Macaca mulatta: one gene and its partner. The protein of the gene in region 1 interacts with the protein of each later gene in a biochemical or structural test. Links are inferred from orthologs where the notes say so. Each region holds a gene or a part of one and is shown in the gene's direction. Other genes may lie near its edges.

Region 1 (3,963 bases):
CAAGGAGAGGGTCTTCCCAGGCTGGCTTTGAGCTCCTACCCCGCCCCGCCCCCAATCCTCTCTGGCACATGGAGTCTTGGTCCCCAGAGTCCCCCCGCGGCCTCCAGATGGTCTGGGAGGGCAGTTCAGCTGTGGCTGCGCATAGCAGACATGCAATGAACGGTGGGCGCAGACCCAGGCTGTGTAGACCCAGCCCCCACACCCCGCAGTGCCTGGAGCTGCCTGGGTCACCCACTAACGCCCCAGGCCTGGTCTTGGCTGGGCGTGACCGCGTTACCCTCAGAAGCAGCAGCTCCTGGGGAAACTTTCCCTGCCCCGTAGAGCCCACCTTCCCAGGGCCGTGGCTGGGTGGGTTTGCAGCTTTCATCACAGGCCACCTCAAGCCACTGGACCGCTGGCGCCTGCCCTGTCCTGGGCAGTGTGGTCCTGCGACTTCTAAGTGGCCGCGAGGCCCCTGACTCCCCCAACACCACACTCTACCTCTCAAGCCCAAGTCTCTCCCTAGTGACCCACCCAGCCCATTTAGCTAGCTGAGCCCCATAGCCAGAGGTCCCGAGACCTGCTTTCAGGGCAGTTGCTCTGAAGTCGGCAAGGGGGAGTGACTGCCTGGCCACTCCATGCCCTTCAAGGGCTCCTTCTGCAGGAGCGCACAGCACCCAGGACCCTGGCACCCGTGCAGACCCTGGCCCACCCGACCTGGGCGCTCAGTGCCCAAGAGATGTCCACACCTAGAATGTCCCGCGGTGGGTGGGGGGCCCGAGAGACGGGCAGGCCGGGGACAGGCCTGGCCATGCGGGGCCGAACCGGGCACTGCCCAGCGTGGGGTGCGGGGGCCACCGCGCGCGCCCCCAACCCCCGGGCCCAGCACCCCAAGGCGGCCAACGCCAAAACTCTCCCTCCTCCTCTTCCTCAATCTCGCTCTCGCTCTTTTTTTTTTTTTCGCAAAAGGAGGGGAGAGGGGGTAAAAAAATGCTGCACTGTGCGGCGAGGCCGGTGAGTGAGCGGCGCGGGGCCAATCAGCGCGCGCCGTTCCGAAAGTTGCCTTTTATGGCTCGAGCGGCCGCAGCGGCGCCCTATAAAACCCGGCGGCGCGACGCGCCTCCACCGCCGAGACCGCGTCCGCCCCGCGAGCACAGAGCCTCGCCTTTGCCGCTCCGCCGCCTGTTCACACCCGCCGCCAGGTAAGCCCGGCCAGCCGACCCTGGTAGGCGGCTCCCGGCTCGGCTGCCTAAGGCCGCGGCCCCTTCGCCTGTGTAGAGCCGCCTGCGCCGCAGCGGGGGTCGCATGTGGGGACTGGACTGCAGTGGGGGACGCGGGAGAAGCCCCTGGGCCTCCAGAGATGTGGGGACACCCCGCTTCAGTTTGGCGGCGCGGGGCCCTGCTCGGGAGGCGCGCTCTGGGGGTGCTGCTCTCGGGATGGGGGCAGCCGGCGGGGTCTTTGTCCGAGCCGGCTTCTTGCCAGTGGGAACTGCAGGGTGGGCGCGGCGGAGCCCCCCCGCCAGGCTCGGTGGGGGGCTGGGGCGCCATTGCGCGTGCGTCCTGGGGCTTGGGGCGCTAACTCTGCGTGCGCGCTGGGAATCGGCGCTAGTTGCGCGTGCGCGCTGGGACTCCAGGCGCTAATTGCGCGTGCGTTCTGGGGCCCGGGTGCCGCGGCCTGGGCTGGGGCAAGGGCTGGCCCCGCCGGAAGGGGTGGGGTCGCGGAGGCTCCAGGGCGCTTGCGCGCACTTCCTGCCCGCGCCGCCGGCCGCCTGAGGGTGTGGCCGCCGCGCGCGCGCGCGCCGACCCGGCGCTATTTGAACGGAGCGGAGGCGGGGCCGGCTCCCGGTTGGGAGGGGGTGGGGGCCTGGCTTCCTGCCGCGCGCGGTGGGGACGCCTCCGACCAGTGTTTGCCTTTTATGGTAATAACGCGGCCGGCCCGGCTTCCTTTGTCCCCAATCTGGGCGCGCGCCTGCGCCCCCTGGCGGCCTAAGGCCTCGGCGCGCCGGAAGTGGGCAGGGCGGGGGCCACCTCGGCTCACAGAGCGCCCGGCTTTCCCGCAGCTCGCCATGGATGATGATATCGCCGCGCTCGTTGTCGACAACGGCTCCGGCATGTGCAAGGCCGGCTTCGCGGGCGACGATGCCCCCCGGGCCGTCTTCCCCTCCATCGTGGGGCGCCCCAGGCACCAGGTAGGGGAGCTGGGTGGGTGGGGCGGGCCCGGGAGCGGGCGGGAGGCGAGGGCGCTTTCTCTGCACGGGGGTCTCCCGGTTTCTGGGGTGGGGGCCGCGCCCGTGCTTAGGGCGCCTTGTTTTTTCTTTCCTAGGGCGTGATGGTGGGCATGGGTCAGAAGGATTCGTATGTGGGCGACGAGGCCCAGAGCAAGAGAGGCATTCTCACCCTGAAGTACCCCATCGAGCACGGCATCGTCACCAACTGGGACGACATGGAGAAGATCTGGCACCACACCTTCTACAATGAGCTGCGTGTGGCTCCTGAGGAGCACCCCGTGCTGCTGACCGAGGCCCCCCTGAACCCCAAGGCCAACCGCGAGAAGATGACCCAGGTAAGTGGCCCGCTACCTCTTGTGGTGGCCACCGCCCTCTTTCCTGGTCTCCCGGAGCTGCGCCCTTTCTCACTGGTTCTCTCTTCTGCCGTTCTTCGTAGGACTCTCTTCTCTGACCTGAGTCTCCTTTGGAACTCTGCAGGTTCTATTTGCTTTTTCCCAGATGAGCTCTTTTTCTGGTGTTTGCCTCTCTGACTAGGTGTCTAAAACAGACAGTGCTGTGGGTATAGGTACTAACATTGGCTCGTGTGACAAGCCCATGAGGCTGGTGTAAAGCGGCCTTGGAGTGTGTATTCAGTAGGTGCACAGTAGGTCTGAACAGAATCCCCATCCCAAGACCCCAGCACACTTAGCAGTGTTCTTTGCACTTCCTGCATGTCCCCCATCTGGCCTGGCTGTCCCAGTAGCTTCCTGAGTGTGACATGGTGCATTTCTTCCTTACAGATCATGTTTGAGACCTTCAACACCCCAGCCATGTACGTGGCCATCCAGGCTGTGCTGTCCCTGTACGCCTCTGGCCGTACCACTGGCATCGTGATGGACTCCGGTGACGGGGTCACCCACACTGTGCCCATCTACGAGGGGTATGCCCTCCCCCATGCCATCCTGCGTCTGGACCTGGCTGGCCGGGACCTGACTGACTACCTCATGAAGATCCTCACTGAGCGCGGCTACAGCTTCACCACCACGGCCGAGCGGGAAATCGTGCGTGACATTAAGGAGAAGCTGTGCTATGTCGCCCTAGACTTCGAGCAGGAGATGGCCACGGCGGCTTCCAGCTCCTCCCTGGAGAAGAGCTACGAGCTGCCCGATGGCCAGGTCATCACCATTGGCAACGAGCGGTTCCGCTGCCCTGAGGCTCTCTTCCAACCTTCCTTCCTGGGTGAGTGGAGACCCGCCTCCCGGCCCTGCCTGACCTGAGGGTCACCCTTCGGGCTGTGCTGTGGAAGCTAAGTCCGCCCTCATTTCTTCCTCAGGCATGGAGTCCTGTGGCATCCACGAAACTACCTTCAACTCCATCATGAAGTGTGACGTGGACATCCGTAAAGACCTGTACGCCAACACAGTGCTGTCTGGTGGCACCACCATGTACCCTGGCATTGCTGACAGGATGCAGAAGGAGATTACTGCCCTGGCGCCCAGCACGATGAAGATCAAGGTGGGTGTCCTTCCACCCTGAGCTGACCTGGGCAGGTGGGCCATGGGGCCCTGTGGTGTGTGGGGAGCTGTCACATCCGGGGTTCTCACTGCCTGTTTGTTTCCTTCCCTCCTCAGATCATTGCTCCTCCTGAGCGCAAGTACTCTGTGTGGATCGGCGGCTCCATCCTGGCCTCGCTGTCCACCTTCCAGCAGATGTGGATCAGCAAGCAGGAGTATGACGAGTCTGGCCCTTCCATCGTCCACCGCAAATGCTTCTAGGC
Region 2 (4,260 bases), on another chromosome or scaffold:
TGGGGGCTCGCCTCACCACTTAACTTGAACTGGGGATTATCAGTAGTACCGTACATAGTCCATTAATTTCAAGTCAAATCATTTCACAAATGTTAATATTTCACGTATACATGGCTGCAAGGTATGACAGAATGCTTCATAAAAGCCATTGAAAATAAACTTCAAAAGTAAAATGCATCAATCAGTTAAATCCCATTAGCCTATGGGAGAAATTTCAATATGTATACCTCCAAATTTCAAATTAATAATGGGGCAATATTATTGTGCCACCTAGAGTACCAAACAGTGGGTATAAACCATCTCCTTAGTCAGATGGAACACTGGCTGGACACTGCAGATTATCTGGGGTTTAAGACGTTAACTTCTATCACGAATCTAAATTCTGACTTCCCTGTCTAAAACTTCGGGAACATCACATCTTTTATTTAAAGCGAAAAAGTAAACTTCTAACATACAAAATAACGGATTTCTTTTCAAGAGCGATAGTCCTTTTTTTTTTTTTTTTTTTTTTAACAAAATCACTGCCCTTGATTTTTCATGAACTTTAAGTTTCAGAATGATTTGGTCAAGAGTATTTCTACAGGAATAGGAAGAGAATCAAGTGGGCCTATAATCAAAGACCTAGCTGGGTCTCACCCTCATGGTTAACTACTGAGACTTCATAGCCGATGACCAGGTCCTAAAGTGGACAGAACAAGCCTTACTGGAGGTCCGTCTTTGTGGTAGGTACAGAAAACTTGGAAATGCAATTCTGTGGTTTATTTAGGGTTATTAAGAGCATGAGAATAGCCCTGCAAAGGCTGGTAAACTAGGGTTTGCAGTATGGAGTAGTAAGCAAAGCCTCTACTTCCCAGGCCCTGCACCCGGGGTGTGGAACAGACAAAAGAACGGCTCTGCCCTTGCCCTTCTCGAACTTAAAATCCAATTCGCAAAGCAGGACTTACACATATTAAATCAAATACAGCATTATGCTGAAAAGAGCCCCTGCGTGTAACAGTTGCCAATGTGTGTTATACCAGTCAAAACGATTTGAAGGAGTTTTAAACGGAAAGCTGGAGAAACATACAAGAAGGCAGATCTAAGATGGAAGAAAAGGCGGATTCGGGTTGAAATGCCAAGTTGAGGACTGAAGAAAGCATTTGGACAAAGCAGCCTCCAGGCTGGGAAGGCGAAAAGCCAAACGAGTATAGCCACCAAAGACCCAGAAAGGCCAATAGATTGTGCAGTGAGTCGGTTTAACTGAAAGGCGGTTTCCTTTTCCTCCATTTGCTCAGTCCCAATTGGAAGCGCACTGCGCGGCCTGCGCCGCGCTCTCAGCCCGGGTTCGGCGTGGGGGCGGGGAGGTAAGTACGGTAATGGGCGGGGCCGAGCGCGGGCGCGCTCCGGCTTTCCTCCTGCGCAGCGCTCCCGTCAGCGCAGGGGGCGGGGCGCCTATATTACGTGCGCGGCGCCGCCCCTGCGAGAGGACGTTGCGTGCTCGCTCGCGCCAGGCGAGTCTCCGCGTCTCCCTCGCGAACTCGGTGAAAGGAATTGGCGCCGTTCGACACCAGGCGGATCCGCTCTGCAGCACGACCCCATCTCCAGCCGCAGCCGCAGCCGCCGCCCGGGCCGAGGAGCAGCCGCAGCAGCCGCCACCAGTGGCCGAGTGAGCGGAGCCGAGTTTGAGGCAGCGCCTAGCGGTGAATCGGGGCCCTCACCATGAGTTCCTCGCCTGTTAATGTAAAAAAGCTGAAGGTGTCGGAGCTGAAAGAGGAGCTCAAGAAGCGACGCCTTTCTGACAAGGGTCTCAAGGCCGAGCTCATGGAGCGACTCCAGGCCGCGCTGGACGACGAGGAGGCCGGGGGCCGCCCCGCCATGGAGCCCGGGAACGGCAGCCTAGACCTGGGCGGGGATTCCGCCGGGCGCTCGGGAGCAGGCCTCGAGCAGGAGGCCGCGGTCGGCGGCGATGAAGAGGAGGAGGAAGAGGAAGAGGAGGAGGAAGGAATCTCCGCCCTGGACGGCGACCAGATGGAGCTAGGAGAGGAGAACGGGGCCGCGGGGGCGGCCGACTCGGGCCCGATGGAGGAGGAGGAGGCCGCCTCGGAAGACGAGAACGGCGACGATCAGGGTTTCCAGGAAGGGGAAGATGAGCTCGGGGACGAAGAGGAAGGCGCGGGCGACGAGAACGGGCACGGGGAGCAGCAGCCTCAACCGCCGGCGACGCAGCAGCAACAGACCCAACAGCAGCGCGGGGCCGCCAAGGAGGCCGCGGGGAAGAGCAGCGGCCCCACCTCGCTGTTCGCGGTGACGGTGGCGCCGCCCGGGGCGAGGCAGGGCCAGCAGCAGGCGGGAGGTAAGAAGAAGGCGGAAGGCGGCGGAGGCGGCGGTCGCCCCGGGGCTCCGGCGGCGGGTGAGTGCTGCGTTGTACGTTGCGCGCGGCGGGAGGCCCGCGCGGGGTGGGGACCGTGCCCCAGGCCTGCCGGAGCCCCGCAGGGGGAGGGAGCCCCGGGCGGGCGGGGGGCCGCGGGGAGGGTGGCGGGTGGGGGAGGGGGCGCGGGGAATCCCAGATTAGCCGAGAGGCCTCGGGCTCGGGGCGTGTGTGCGTGTGTTCGTGTGTGTGTGTGTGTGTGTGTGTGACGGCGGTGGCAGCGCCTCCATTATGTGGCTCGAGAGCCGGGGGGAGCTGCAGCTGCCGCTGGAGGGGGAGGAGCCGCGGGCGGGCGGCGGGAGGGAGCCCGGTCGGCCCGCGGTGGCGCCGTCGCGCTGCGTGCGCGCGGTGCGGGCACATGTCTCGGGGGGAGGGGAGAGGCCCCAGGTCCCGGGGCGGGCGCGCTTTGGCGGCTCCTCGCCGCTGTATTGTGCAAGGAGCGCAGGGGCTCGGCGTGACGTCACTTCCTGCGGGAGGAGCCGGGCGGGGCGGGGCGGGGGGCGGAAGATCAGTACAATGCGGCCGCGGGGAGCGCGGGCCCGCGGGGGAGGGGAGCGCCGCCGCGCCGGGCTCGGCCCCTCCCCCTCCTGCGCCCTGGTCGCGATACACGTGGGCTTCGGGCCTGGGCCGCGCAGTTTTTCTTTGGGTTTCTCGAATCATCGAGGAGACTGGCAAAATTCGTAACGTCTTTAGACTGCGTCACTAGCGCTAATCCAATTCGTAGCTGATTGTTCTTCGAATTCACATTTGAGTCCTCGGTTAAAACCTCGGTTAAAAAGCAGGATAAAGTCGAGCTGCTTTGCTTCTCGGAACGGAAAAGCGTTTTTTTGTTGTTGTTTAGCGGCTTGGCCTCTTATGGGGGTCTTGTGTGTTTTAGGGGACGGCAAAACAGAACAGAAAGGCGGAGATAAAAAGAGGGGTGTTAAAAGACCACGAGAAGATCATGGCCGTGGATATTTTGAGTACATTGAAGAGAACAAGTATAGCAGGTATAGGATGCTCACCTAGTTTTACTTGTCATCCCTTATTCGTTCGTTGATCGGAAAGCTGTATCAGGAGACAATTCTGTCTTTCAGAGCCAAATCTCCTCAGCCACCGGTTGAAGAAGAAGATGAACACTTCGATGACACAGTGGTTTGTCTTGATACTTGTAAGTGAAGCTGTTTCTCCCCAATTATGAAATGCGGTGATGGTTTTTTTTTTTTTTTTGCTTCCAAAATGTTAGAAAACTTAATGCTTAAGTGCAGCAAAAGTTGGGTTAGGTTTTTTTAAAAGCAGGAAGAGATAATGGTTTATATTCAGAACCTAGTAGTTTAATATTTAGCACGGCATCAGTTGTATCAAATGGATTATTTTACAGGCTCTAGGAGTTTCATATTTTTATGACTTGAAAGTTCTCGTTCTTAGGAAATGTAAAATTAATGCCAGTTTCTGACTAGCTAACGGAAACTTGTAACACTACCTATAATTTAGCCTTACAGGCTTCTACAATAAAGTAATTCATTTTTTTGTGGAATTATATTAAGTGAGCTATTTGGGCTAGTTAAATATTTACTAATGACTTCTCCCATTAGCACACAAGTATATTCCCTATTCTAAAAGATTGTAATATTATTTTTTCAATAACTGCTCTTTTGTTCTCAATTCCAGTTCAGTAGCTGCTGCTTTAAACATAAGTTGATTTCTTCCAAAGACCTGAGGCAGCAGCAGTGGGCTATCACTGGGCCACTAGCTTTCTTCAGCAGCGAATGGTATCAATGGCAGTGCAGCACTGTAAATACTGCTACTTCACCCAGTTGGGTTGCAATTGAGTATGAGAAAGTATTGCAAACCTCTAAGTGGGCTTTGACTGT

Evidence for each region. The genes of interacting proteins can lie anywhere in the genome.
Region 2: the proteins of ACTB (region 1) and HNRNPU form a complex in vitro, tested with the Homo sapiens proteins (2 studies listed by BioGRID). The link is inferred for Macaca mulatta from reciprocal best matches to the Homo sapiens genes ACTB and HNRNPU.

What each region holds. Positions count from the first base shown.
Region 1 is NC_133408.1:43,744,743-43,748,705, reverse strand, and holds the start of ACTB (actin, cytoplasmic 1), read left to right. Parts: upstream 1-1,163; 5' UTR 1,164-1,181; intron 1,182-2,039; 5' UTR 2,040-2,045; coding exon 2,046-2,168; intron 2,169-2,302; coding exon 2,303-2,542; intron 2,543-2,986; coding exon 2,987-3,425; intron 3,426-3,519; coding exon 3,520-3,701; intron 3,702-3,817; coding exon 3,818-3,961; 3' UTR 3,962-3,963. UniProt on the Homo sapiens protein: Actin is a highly conserved protein that polymerizes to produce filaments that form cross-linked networks in the cytoplasm of cells.
Region 2 is NC_133406.1:4,246,174-4,250,433, forward strand, and holds the start of HNRNPU (heterogeneous nuclear ribonucleoprotein U), read left to right. Parts: upstream 1-1,460; 5' UTR 1,461-1,698; coding exon 1,699-2,389; intron 2,390-3,284; coding exon 3,285-3,396; intron 3,397-3,483; coding exon 3,484-3,557; intron 3,558-4,260. UniProt on the Homo sapiens protein: DNA- and RNA-binding protein involved in several cellular processes such as nuclear chromatin organization, telomere-length regulation, transcription, mRNA alternative splicing and stability, Xist-mediated transcriptional silencing and mitotic cell progression.